3 linked regions of the Drosophila melanogaster genome follow. The protein of the gene in region 1 interacts with the protein of each later gene in a pairwise test. Each region holds a gene or a part of one and is shown in the gene's direction. Other genes may lie near its edges.

The links.
Region 2: the proteins of Xport-B (region 1) and wat interact in a two-hybrid assay, tested with the Drosophila melanogaster proteins (one large-scale study listed by BioGRID).
Region 3: the proteins of Xport-B (region 1) and CG17580 interact in a two-hybrid assay, tested with the Drosophila melanogaster proteins (one large-scale study listed by BioGRID).

Annotation. Positions count from the first base shown.
Region 1 is NT_033777.3:19,913,264-19,917,300, reverse strand, and holds Xport-B (exit protein of rhodopsin and TRP B), read left to right. Parts: upstream 1-1,888; 5' UTR 1,889-2,006; coding exon of another isoform or gene 2,007-2,220; 5' UTR 2,221-2,224; intron 2,225-2,288; coding exon of another isoform or gene 2,289-2,425; 5' UTR 2,426-2,476; coding exon 2,477-2,818; 3' UTR 2,819-2,981; downstream 2,982-4,037. Other genes in the region: CG4465 (uncharacterized protein), read left to right, coding at 1-255, 311-1,311; Xport-A (exit protein of rhodopsin and TRP A), read left to right, coding at 2,007-2,220, 2,289-2,425.
Region 2 is NT_033777.3:29,016,955-29,022,369, reverse strand, and holds the start of wat (waterproof), read left to right. Parts: upstream 1-1,963; 5' UTR 1,964-2,347; intron 2,348-5,415. UniProt on the Drosophila melanogaster protein: Catalyzes the reduction of saturated fatty acyl-CoA to fatty alcohols. The preferred substrates are C24:0 and C26:0. Necessary for the final stages of tracheal maturation, to facilitate the transition from water-filled to gas-filled tubes.
Region 3 is NT_033778.4:12,804,538-12,808,763, forward strand, and holds CG17580 (uncharacterized protein), read left to right. Parts: upstream 1-2,076; 5' UTR 2,077-2,160; coding exon 2,161-2,382; 3' UTR 2,383-2,497; intron 2,498-2,552; 3' UTR 2,553-2,692; intron 2,693-2,749; 3' UTR 2,750-3,274; downstream 3,275-4,226.

The DNA of each region.
Region 1 (4,037 bases):
ATTTGGTGTGTCTGTGCGACTTCTTTGTGGCCTGGTCTCAGTACTGGCACCTCTTTGGCCTCCTAATCGGTGGCGTGGCGGCCACCAAGTTGATGCGGGTCCTGAGTCCCCGACAGATTTATAGAACTGGCATCTGGTGCCTGCTCATGTGCAGCCTACTGATGGGTCTTGTCAAAGACTTCAGTCTGCACTGTGGACTCCGATGCCTGGCTGCTGTTTCGTGCTGTTTTATGATCACCTCGGGGCAGTATATATGTAAGTAAAATTGAATATTTAAGAATACTTTAATATTAAATAACCTACTTTTCAGTTGGTGACATAACAGCGGGAAAATATCGCGTAGGAACCCTCATACTTTACGACTGCTTCTGGGCTCTGGGCTTGATTCTGCTCCCTGGCTTGGCCTCCAATGCTCCCAGCTGGCAGCACATATACTTGGGCGTAACTCTTTCCTTGCTGGTGATTGTCTTTCTGCTACCCTGGACTCCGGACTCACCGCGCTGGCAGCTGCAACACACCAAGGAAGCTCAACTGGCCATCGAGCGAACGGTGGGTATCCTGCTGGAAGCAGCCCGTACCAATGGTAGAATGCACAAAGTGTCCAAGGAGTTACCCCAGCAGTTGGAGGAGCTGAGAGAAAGGATGCTGGAGCCAATGCCCGCCGTGCATTGGATGCACTTGTGGATGGGCCAGCGTAGGAGTACTTTCCACTTGGTGGCCGTGCACATGGCACTTGCCACCTTCATGGTGGTCAACACTGGGCTGCTGCTCCATGTGCGGTCCTTTGGCAGGGAGCACCTGGTGTCCAACACACTGGCCATGGGCCTGGCCGAGATGCTTGGCTGCTTCCTGGCCCTACACCTGACCTTCAACCTGAGTGAACGCAAGTGGCAGTGGGCGGGGGGATTTGCCATCGTGGTCGGTTGCATCGGTAGCATCTGTTGGTTCCTGGCCGAGGAGGATATGCCCGAGGTGTATGGACTGACGCTGGGCTTGCTAATGGCATCACTTCCCCAGGCGGCCGTAGCCTGCGCCCAGTCCATGATTTTGGCCTGCCTGGGCGAACTGGTGCCAATGGAGCAGCGTAGTTGCCTCTCCTTCTCCGCCGTCACGTGGGCGCGGGTGTGGCAGCTCTCCGCCTCTTTTCTCACGCTGCTCAGGCAGGTGAGCCCCGCCCTCTCCCTGTCCGCCTTCTGTCTGCTGGTCATCCTGGGCGGCCTTGGCACATGTTGCCTGGTCACGCGGGACAAGGAGCAGCCACCGGTCGGAGCTGTGGTAAACAAGGGACAGCAACTTATTGCGTTCACGTAATAACGTATACTTAATATATGTCTGGGCGTATTTGATAAGTTAGTTGTAGTGTGTGTCAAGTATTCGCGAACAGTATTCGAATTTAGCTCATTAAACATTCGCTTATCGCGAATCGAATATGTATATTGGGTTGCATACTTTTGGGAATAAATCAAAAGTTCGGCATCTACACGTAGTTTGTTTAAAATGTAAAGCTTACATTAGATCAATGCAAAACTATTATAAACTATTTGGCAGAATAAGGCATTAAATAAATTAAAACTGGTTTGCATGATATTTAAATAAGCTTTCAGGAACCAGAGCCATTTGGGACCAATGTAAACCCACAAACACCAACCCTACCGGCGACCACCTTCATCCACCAAGTTGACACACATTTCGTGTGACTGGTATAATAAGTACACATGCCCGGCTAAATATCCAAGCGCATTGCTCCACTAACAACATATTTCTATTTGGTCACCTGTCCCACCATTCCCACCCAGCCAGAGCGACAAGCAGAAATCGCAAATCAATAAAATGGAAACCATAAAATTGCCAGAAGCGGCGCCACGCCAATTGGCACCACAAAGTTTGTGTCATTTGCGGAGCAGCAGTTGGCGAGGAAGCACCAGGCGGAGAGCACTTCCAGGACCAACTCCAATCAAATGCAGTGCTGTGCAGGCTGACCGACCAACTGCTGCTATCTGGATGCAATGAAGCCGAAGAAATCGGCCTTTGCCAATTCATCCACGGGATACGGCAGGAACAAGCACGGTAAAGGACACTCTGGCAAGGATAAAGTCGAGGGTGGTGGTAAGGGCAAGAGCCGAGACGAGAAGGATAAGCATAAGCATGAGCAGAAGGTGGACGAGAAGGATGACAAGGATCTAAATTCCGGCTTCGGCGACTATCTTCGCACTCCGGAGGGTCTGTAATTTTCGCTCCTTAAAAATATATAGTTCATTTAACTAATAAATATTACCCCTTTCCAATAGCATTTGAAATGATGAAACTCTTTGTCTTCGCCAATACCATAATGCTAATTGTCACCATGGCCTGGCCGCACATCAAGGAGCAATTCTACATGGTTAATCAATGGCTTGAAAGCTTCCGCGAGGAGCATCAGCAGTAGAAACCAAAGGATCTATCGAACAAATAAGTAAATCAAGTGGAAGCATACAATATGGTCGGTCCATTCATGCAGGGCCTATTCTTGATTGGCATCATCTACTGGTATTCCAAGGGGATGATGTCCATGATCAACGACTACTACAGAAGTGAGTTCCAGCGAAAGTTGCAGACGGAACCAGCAAAGACGAGGGCAGAGACACCCATCAATGTGGACAACTTTATGGATTATGTTAGGGAGCTGGACACTCCGGACGAGGTGGCTAGAATTCCGGCGGAAGGAACTGAATCTCCGCCCATGGGAAACACCTATTGCCACATCCTTCGACGATTCTTGGAGATTACCGGCACTCTACCACCATTCGATGTTTGCCTAGTTACGAGCAACATAAGATAGCCCATCCTATAATTAATTATATATGGTATCAATTATACTTAGTGTGTTTTATATGAGTTTCGTAGAATAAAATATCTTACTAACCGTATTGCATACTTAATTGTCTTGCTCTCTACATTCGAATTCTACATTGTATCCCACCATTATGAACAACAATAGAAATATTTATCCAACTTGTGGTTTTCAGCTTTTTTATTTAAATGTTTGCAGAATATATTCGTGTGTCTCCAGCATTAGCTCACTTACTAACCTATTCACAAAACTTTATAAACATACTAATCTCTATAAATATCATGGAATATATATCGATTTGGTCTGTAAGTAAGCTCTATTCAATCCAGATCTGGTCATTGCTAGTTTGCATCTGAAGCATCTCGTGAAAAATAGTTATATGGAGATATAAAGTAGTTAGGTATTTGACTTGGAAGTTATGCCATTTGGTTTATAATAAGTGCTGTCTACAAATCGCTTGTGTTCAGGTATTCGTTTTGTGGCACAAAGTGTAGAGTTTTGAAGATACCACAAAGCTGAAGATATCTTAAGTATCATTTGATTTAAGGAGGTCAGTATGTGATTAAGAGCTAGGTATTACCAATTTCATAAGAGATCCACATTCTAACATACACTACGCGCACCCACTCTTTAGCCAATTTCGTAAAATTAACTTCACAAACAATAAAATACAAAGACAAATGCCTCTCGGGCAAAATCATATTTATCTTTTTATGTATATTTTATATACACAACAGTTTATCATACATAATTTTATTATAAAATAAAAATAATAATAATTGCATTACAAATTAATAAAGCAAAGATACAAAGTAAAGTACATCGCGCAGCGAAATGATAATTCAATGAAAATGTACTTCGTGAGTTGAATAATACATTGGAATTTTCTGTAATTTCTGTAATTTAATCGAAATCATAACTTTTAATAAAAGGAAATCACAATGTCTTTCGTTGGAGAAGTTAACAAAACGTACTCAAGAGCAATGCAAAAAATTAAGGAAACACAAAACCTTTCTGAAGTATCACAACCTTTCAAACAAGGATTAACAATTGAGAGCTGGCTTGGGCTAACAAATCGAATTTCGACAATTGATTTATGGTGGCCTACTAAAGACTATATATGCATACATATACGTTATGGATATCGCGTGATATTGTTATATATGGCTAAACACGTACAAATTAGATTGCTTATGAACAAGGCAAA
Region 2 (5,415 bases), 9.1 Mb from region 1:
ATAACTTTTTAAGCTAATTACTAAGACCAGGTGCGAAAATCGGCGAGAAATCAGATTTTCAAGGTATTGACTCAAAAAGGTAACACTCAGTTGTCTGGGTAAATGTTGCCCTATTTGCTCATTGCAAACTGTCCGCCTACAAATCGTAACTTTTTATATAATGGAGCCCCGAAATCTGCATAAGTAAAGAGGCATTTCAAAGCAATTACACAGCATAAATAAAGGCATCAAACAATCTGCAGGCCGTTGTACCTCGAAAGTGAAGTAATTATACATCAAAAGCGAATCATGTCATTGTCAAGTGTTTGAACAGAGCTGAACAAGATCGGATCATACCTGAAAAGTGTGCACTTGAGTGTCTTTTGATGGGGCCACCATTAATATGCAGTGTCTTGATCGCGAATATTATTATTTTAATTTCGTTATTTCGCATTTGTCATTAATGGGCCTTTTGTTTCGTTTTCGTACAGCGTTTGTGCGAGAGATATTCGAGTTTATAGACTCTTTGAGCTTGGCTCTGGTGTGAGAAGATACTGCGTCAAGATACAGATACAGATGGGATCGGCGACAAAACATGCTGGGAACTACGTGATTGATGGCGGCACTGCGATTACCAGCCGAACAGCTGAACAGTACTGAACTCGACTTAGAATACTCGGCCCAGGCGAATATATTATAAATGCTGGGATATATGCGAAATCAGTGAAATCTTGTCGCGTCTAAAAAGGAAAATCACACAGCAAATGCAAAATTTATGAGCGAACTACGTCGAACGACGTCTCCGGGCGAACGGAGCAGGAATACCAATTGGGCTGGGTTTTCGATTGGGATTCGTATAGGGATGGAGCGGATGTGCACTGCACTCGAGGATGAGTCAGCTGAGCCGGAGGTCCGTGTGGGTTCAGCCCTGTCAGACAGATCAAACTATAAAGACAGGGTCCAGGTTCGCCGAATGTCTTTAATTAGCCAGCACGGTTTCAGAGATCTCATCTAGTAATCACTTTATTTACCAGACACAACTTGGGGTCAGCATGATAATCATATGCTATCATCACTTAATTAACAACGGAATTTTTTATACAAGATAAAAGAACATACATATAATGCAAAGTAATCCAATACATTTTCGGTTAATCATTTTGCACTTCTTAACAATCATAATGATAATCCGAAAATTCAATCGCTATGTATTCAATTATATGGAGCCTCATAATATATGATATATGTACACGCTGCGTATGAGTAATATTTACAGTTCATCTCGAAATCTTTGCTAATATTTTGAGTATTCGTCATCTTCGTTGGAATGATAACTACTAGTATACATTGGGTATGGGAATATTCAATTTTGAAACTCAACTGAATAAGGCAATTGTAAAAGATACTGGCGTAATCTTTGATTACCAGCACGTTTTGTTAATTGTTTATTAAAGATGCTTTGGAACCTTCAAAATGCTCCATTTAATAGGATGAATGGCAAGCTGTAAGCTAAGTAACCGGCGCTATTTTAACCCAAGTGACCAGCGCTTAAGTGAAGTCCGATGTACATATACCGCAAATATATCTCAAATGCTTCGGCTTTACGAGGCTCCATAAAATTGGATCATAACACTGGCAGTGTCCGAAAGCGATGCTCAGGTGCGGCAAGTTAGTACGACTATGTACATGTGTACACTTCAATCGCCAGTCCAAACTGCGCCACTCAATTTGACTTGATTTTTTTTTTAAGTTTGGCTTACCGCCCACAAAACGCCGCAGTCGCCGTCGCAGTCGACGCCACCGTCGCTGAGGCGCTGAGCCGCTGAGCCACCAAACCGCTGAGCCGCTGAGATGCCAAGCGCACCACCATCGAGCCGCTGAACGGCGCCGATCCACGGACTGAGAAGCCGCCGTCAGGTGTTGTGGTTTTTGCGAGCCTCAATCGAGCTGAGTCTGTTTTCGTCTGCCTGGCAGCGCGGTTCTGGAACGCGTAACGCTCGCATCGACTTCAAAAGTTAGTTTTCAAACTCGGGACTCAATTCGCTGGATATACAAAACCGATTCGGTTCGGATCGCGGTGCGCTCCCAGTTTTTCCACCTGTTGCAACCAATTTGGCATCGCTCTTTTCGCTACTCTTGTGCAACAGCGCGTGCTGCAGTTGTAAAGCGCGTTTGGTTAGAGAATTTTTATATATTTCGAAAGTGGCAACTGAAAAAGATAGAAAACCAAGAGATATATCCCTGTATGCCAGCGAGCAAGATTCGTTTTGGCAGATCCACGAGCCCTCCAATTAGCCAGCAATTTGCGGAAAGCCACTCCAATCCAATCCGTGGCCGTGGGATCTGTGCCTGTGCAGCCAGCAAATCGGTGAGTCTTGAATTACATGGGATTATAGACAATCTGCTCTGCTATCCGTATACCTGGTAATCGTATGACATATGCCATTACGTATATGCTAGGCACTGTAGGTAGTGGTGGTGGTAATGTAGCTGGCGTTGATGGCTTTCTAAAAAAAATACCCATATACCCAAATACCCAAAACGGGTTGGATTCGCTCCGCAGGTGCAGGAGGGGCCGACGAAGAGCTCATAGCCAATTGCCAGCACACAGGCATTCACGAAAAAATGTGTGAAATTTCATTGAATTTCCCAAATTTAATACACAAACAAACCCACTCGGCAATTGGGAAATAACTCATTGTTTTGCCATTGCAATGGCAAAAGAGTTACGGCTGCCAAAGAATCGATAATCGCCAGTTGGATTATTATATTACTCCCGTGGTCTTTGTGTATTTCAAACAAGTTTGCATTCATTCGTATTTTATATATGGCCAAACCCAAAAAATAATTGATTAGATTGGGAAAAACATTCATTACTGGATCAAGAGCAGTTCGATCAATATTTAAATTCCCACTTAGCAGCTCACTAATTTGGCAGAATAAATAATATTATCTGTGACATTTGGTTTTACAAATCCGTGACTAATTGTTCTGTGCTGGCTATAAAAGAAATTACTTGATGCTCAAAAATATACAAAAATATACATACCTTTTGTAAAAGAGACTAAAAGGCCAGAAGAGGATTTTAAATATTTAGAAGATACGCATTTCAGTGAAATGTCGCAATAAAAATGTGTTGCATTAAATATTATTATATTACGTAAATCATATTTCAGCTGCGCAGAAATGTGCAATTTGCCTCAGCTTTACAAGCCATTTAAAATCCGAACTCAATTAAGCGATGTAATTTGGAAATTAAAGTTCATAAAGAATTTAAAGAGTGGACGCCCCCAAGCCCTTTATACAACAAATACTTTCGTTGGCCAAATTTAAATGGCAATGAAATGCATTCAATGAAATATGCATGAGAATATCATCATATCGTGCTGAAATGAAACAGAGTTTAAAAAATCGATTTGTGTGCCACAATTAAATGGGCCTCAAGGATGCAATTAAAGTATCTAAGTATCTGTGCAGGAAAAACCCAGCCAACTCTTTAATTGAGGCGAGACGAGAAAATAGTGCTAAACTTCATGTCATAGCGATTCAATTAATTCGCAATTTATCAATTTTCAGTGCCAGGGCTTTTTGATGCGGCCAAACATATTTCATTTGTCCACCACAAACAACTGGTATTCCAGTTCGGATGCGGATGGGGATTCGTTGGGAGTTCGCTTCGGGATCCGTGGGCGGATGGCTCTGGTGGCTCTGGTGTTCCATGTTCCATGTTCAGTGGGCTGACGTGGTGGGGCGTCAAGTGGAAAATAATCGATGATGTGCCCGGGCACAATGCAAACATTGAATCAAAGTCAAATAGCATTAAACTTTTTGAACTTGCGAGGCGCGGCGAACATAAAAAAAATGAAATAATAATAAAAGTTTGCCCGCCTTCCAAGAGGCGTGAAAGCGCACACAAAAAAGTGGGCAAGCGGGGTAGGGGGTTTTTTTTTGGGTTCCTGGGTTTTTGGGACTCGGTGCTGCAGTTTTGGATCTCCCTTTCCAGAGATTTAGTGCTTTTCTTTTTTTTGGATGGATAAGCGCAGCGTTGCGCAAATATTTGACAAATCCCGCGAAAAGTCTGCTTATGTTGTCACCTCGCCTCGTTGCCATTTCTATCCAGCACCCAGGGAATGGAATGGGATAACTGGGATGGGATGCGATGGGATTTGCAGTGTGACTGGCACTGGGCCAGTCATGCTGATTAGGATTGCACCGAAAGACACTTGCCACTTGCCACTTACCACTTTCAACGTGCGACAATGTTTTCGAATTGAAATCCGAATCGGAATTTGCATGCGAATGCTCGCGGTGTAATTTATATTTCGCACTTGGCGCACTTTTCATTTCGCTGCGCGATTTTGTTTATGCAATTTGGCCAACTGCCTGCCGAATGCCAAAAGGAAGGCAAACGCCTCAGGCTTCAGGCTTCTGGCTAACGAGTGCAGGCGCGTGTCTGTATCTATATCTGTATCTGCACCTCTATCTGTATCTGTATCTGTATCTGTATCTGTATCTGTATCTTGTGGATAGGGAAGACCCCCCGAGATTCCCATATAGCAGGTGAAGGCGAACGTAAATGCGCCAATTTGTATGCAAGCAGCATTAATCGAGGGGTAATCCGGCAGCGATGCATTGCAGCCAGTTAAAGCCCAAGCCCAAGCCGATTCCGAATCCAAATCGAAGTCCAAAGCCAAATCCAGAGCCAGAGCCACTGCGTTTCGACCTGGCCAAGAGGGGCCGACATTACGTGAGATGTGCAATTGCACGAAATTGATTTGCAATCGATAAATGTGCGAATATTGCTTCTGCTGCGAATTAGCAGCCAAACAGCCAAACGGCCAAGTGTCCAAATGGCCAAGATATCCGAAGGCGCTCTTCGCCTTGCATTTTCCAGGCGTGTTTAAGTATGCATAAATAACTCATCGGCCGCCTGACCATGAATCCAATTGGGAACATCTTCATTTAAATTGTTTAGTAGCCGAGCAATGCGGCTGAGTAATGTTTGCATTGTATCTGCATCTGTGCCTCCGGTATCTGCACATTTTTCAAGCTGCCAAGTGGCAACGTTCCTAAATAAAGGTATGTTTTGAACATAAATTTTGTCAATTTCAACTATTATCGGGTGAGTTTGCATTTACCATACTCGTATAAAACGTACGGTTTTAAATTACAACAAAGATCGAATTTCCATGCAGATATTCTATATATTTGTAGATAAAAGTGTTACACTTGTAGCTGTTCATTTGAACACGGCCATATTAAATTCTGCATGCTCATTTAATTAGTGTAATTATATTTGGCACAGTACATATGTAGCTGCTCTGATATGTTTCATATTACACTTATTAATTATTTAACGAGCGCTGTAATATATAATTGTAAAATTCCTGCGGTCTGAATAGCCCACTCTGAGTGACAGCCAGTTGATTTAAACGG
Region 3 (4,226 bases), on another chromosome or scaffold:
AAATTGCATAAAGTTGAAATTAAGTGTCACCACACAACTTATATTGAGCCGTTTACAGGATTTCTCAATTAAAAGCGACATTTAAATTAGATTAAAAATGGCAATGTATAATTTGTTTCAAAGAATAACTATGTATGCCACAGGCCACACACACTAACCTGCTCGCATTTTCTCACACCCTTTGAATCCTTCTTAATCTCCAGTCGGAGAGCAAACAAAAAGCAAAAGCAATCTTTCCTTTGTGCCACGTCTCGAAAGTCTGAAGAGATCCTTGCCAGCACAGCCTATTTGCTGCTGTTTGCTCCTTTTGAGGACCTTTGCTTTTTCGAGGGTAAACGCTGCAGTGCCAGAGGTGGAGAACTTTGCAAGACTGAATAAAAGTCGGCCTAAAGTCTTATTGTTTTCTGGTTTTTATCTGAAAGCTGCTGCTGCTGCTGCCTCAGCTCTGTCATTCGAGGTCCTGTGAAGTTGGCGATTATTGTTGCAAACTTAGTTGACAACTTGCCTGCTCGTCCTGCCATCTGCACCGCCCACTTATCGCCACCACCGCCCACCCCAAGGCCATGCAGATGATGGGCCGCCAAGCGTAATAAGGCCGAAGCCCAGGGAAAGAGGAAGTCTAGTGAAAATAAACAGTCGGACAGCCAAGTTGGGCATAGTTGAGCTTCTCGGCATCTCAGCTTCGCAGTCTTGCAGTTTCCCAGTTTCCCACTCTCACAGTTTTTCAGTTTCCCAGTTCATAGTTTGCCTGTTGTCTCCCCATTGTCCTGGCCATTCTTTATTTTTCAGTCCTTCCACTCCGGCTCTATATTATTATTATGTCTTGGCCCGGACTGCACAAAGTTTTGCCATTCTCTAACGACTTTGAATTTTTAATAATACCCCGCTGGAGCTTAACAATTTTGCCATCGTTCGGTTGTAGCGGCTAAGCTTTGTTACCAATTTAATGCATTTCTTGGTTGACGGAAATTGAATATCCGTTAAGATATATTAACAATTTATGCCGCCCTGATTGCCGACCCCCAATGCGGGTGCGGAATGAGGAGATCTATGCCTTTTTTGCAGTAAAATTGAAAACGAAACGAAACGGAACCAAAGCACACAGATACTATACACGAACGAACGGTAGCTGTGGCAAGAGAGCAGTCATCATCAGGGCCATAATGAGCAAGTCAATAGCCGGGCGGGCCAGCAGCAAAGGGAAAAGTCGAGGGGAAAGCCAGGCAATCGATGACGGAGCAAGGAAAATGCCGGCTGCCAGCAGTCATGCAGCGACGTGCGATAAAAAGCAGATTGCAATTTGTTTTACTGATTTCCATGCTTTTGGCTTTATTTGCACGACGGAAACTTTCATTAACATCAAACAGAAACTGAAATTGAAGCAGTAATGGCATCGCCAGCACTCCAAAGGATACAGCCACGGGGAAAAGCTGGAAAAGCCGATCGAAATGCACTTAAATCATGGCAAGAATGAGATCTACGGCATGCTTAAGTGGCATTATATGTACATACATATGCGCATATACGAGAATGCCATTATTAAGTTGCATCCTTCATTTGCTCAATTTGGCCAGTTGACCAGCTGGCCATTTAATTGATACGGCAAAAGGTCAGGGTGATGGTAGACCCACTTGACACCTCACCAAATTCCAGAATTCTTTGGGCAAACATTTGAGCAACATAAATGCACAAGTCCTACCAACCAATTAGTTGGCAAATAATGGAGAGAAATGACTTTTCATCTCTCGACCGCAAACAAAGTCCTTTTGTATTCCACCCAGGACCTCCTGTTCTGAAATTTATGCACGGACTTGGGCCTGCAAGGATCTCGAGGAGTGGCGGACGACTCTTGTTTTGTGTTCCAAGTAATTTGAACAAATTTGCGAGACATTTTGTGGCCTCCGAGCAAATATTTCAGGCCAATGCTAACCACCCCATCATCATCATCATGGCTTGGGCAGGCCTTTTGCGGACAAAGGCCAATTAACTTAAATAATTAGCCAGAAGTTTTCGCCATCGGAGATGAATCTCAGCCTACGAGATGCTCAAGTAATTTCAATAAAATGTTATCATTCGGTTGCTGTCGAGTTGCCAGGGAAAATCCAATCAATTATCGCCCAAGGGAAGCAAATTCGTACAGAAAGTTAAAGGCCCAGGGAAATGGGAAACAAGCTGCGCCGCCAACCACAAAGAGTTGAAGTTGACGAGGAGGAGGTGAGATCCGACCGACCCCAGAAGAAGCCACCATCGTCATGGCCCTTCTGGCGCCTGGTCTACTGGCTGGGAGTCCTCATCATGGTCATCGGCATCGGTGTGGGCATGTACTTCACCCTCAAGTCGGACTTCGGTGAGTGCTCCTCCTACGACGTCCGTTGCGATTGAGTGCTCCTGGCGATATAGAAACTTCCACGGAAATGGCGGAATTCATTACCCATTGAACTTCAACTAATTTGAAGCAGCTTGGCCTGCGAAAGCAATTGTTCTACATTTAGCGAGAGTAAGTATGCCAGCAGATATTAAAGAAAACTATTTAAAATTATTTCCCAAATTAGATTTAATTAAAACTTATACACCAGTTATGTTTTCTTGTCGAAACATCAGTTTGATCTTTTTACTTTTTATCATCGCAGTCTACATTTGCCTGTTTGTTTTATATATACTCCACAGAGTTGGTGAAGATAATTAATATTGGGTTTGTAATATTATTTTTCATTTGCCTTGCAGTATAAACCAGCTTATCTTTTCGCAGATTCATATGTAAAGTTATTCATTTGTCTGTTCTCCTGTTTGAATTGTGATATGCTAAGCTTGGTTATATCACTATCAACTTACGTGCAGTCCAATACTTGTCATACATGAATTCTAGCAGCTGGATCTTAATTAAAGCCGGATGAAACAACCCACCCCACACTAGACCGCCTCCTTTATTGTTAACAATTACAAAAGCAAGGCCGAAGCCGCGCAATCTCCAGCAACACATGCAGATACATTTGTGCATGTAGACGTGTGTATTTGTGATGCTATTCAAACTTATTGGAGCGCTTCCTTTTGATGGCGTTCTGGTTGACTCTTCAATGGCGAAACACTTTTTAGTTGAATGAAGCTAGTGAATGCACATATTTTGGGTTGCATATAAAAAATCCTACGATTATTCACTGGCCCTATTTATTTTGGTGTTAATTAACGAAGTGGAGAATGGCATTCATTGATAAAAGTGTACAACGATTTTTATTTCACATATTTATGCTATTGCTGTAATTAAAATAACAATTTGAATTAAAACTCTAATTTTAATAAATAAACTAAAATTGCACACTTATGACGACACATTTTATTTAAATTACCAGCTTAGGAAGTTGATTGCTTCTACTAAACGAGACAAAAGTTATTTATTTCGGTGCGTTGGGGGTTTATCTTAAAACGACTTCTTATGAGAGGGGCCATCAGTCAAGGTCAAGCTTAACAAAGATTTGTCGGCAATTCGAGCTTTTATTTCTTTGACACTTGCCAGACTTCTTTCGTTCGCACACAGCAGGTGAAATATAAATAAACTTTTTAATGAACTTTAAGATTTATTGCCAGCAGCAGCCGCAGCAAGTCAAGTCTGACACTTTGTGGCTTTAAATTTTCGGACGGGAATGTGCTGTTTAGATAAATTATACAGCACAATATATCCCGAAGGCACTGGCTGGCTGACTGAATATTTTGAATGTGAAGAGCACCCTGCCCTGAACTAAATATTCTGCAAATAATTGCACTCGACATCGACTGAATAGACCTAGCCCACAAATAATATCTTAATGCTTGCTCTGTATTTTACGAGCTTCCACCCATTAGACGCACACACTGCGTATGCGTAATGTCGAAATAATATCATTAGTATAATTGAACATATCTTGGTGTTGGCTCGGTCAGGCAATCAGATGTCACAGGTGATGTTATAAAATTCACAAAGCAAGCGGCTGATGAGCTGATTATTTACGTTCCAACATCTTTGAGGAGATAATTAACAATGTCGAGACATCAATTATCGCAATGTTGCAGCCAGCCCCCCAAGCGAAATTGAACTTGAAAAAGTCAAGGACTTGGGACTTGGGAATTATTTGTGTCGCTCTTGTTGTTTCACTATGTATCCTTGCTGTTTCCTTAGTTTTTTCTCTCAGCTATTTCTGTTAGCCATTTCCCCCTTTCTGTTGCCAACAAATCTCACCGGCTCAAGTACAAGC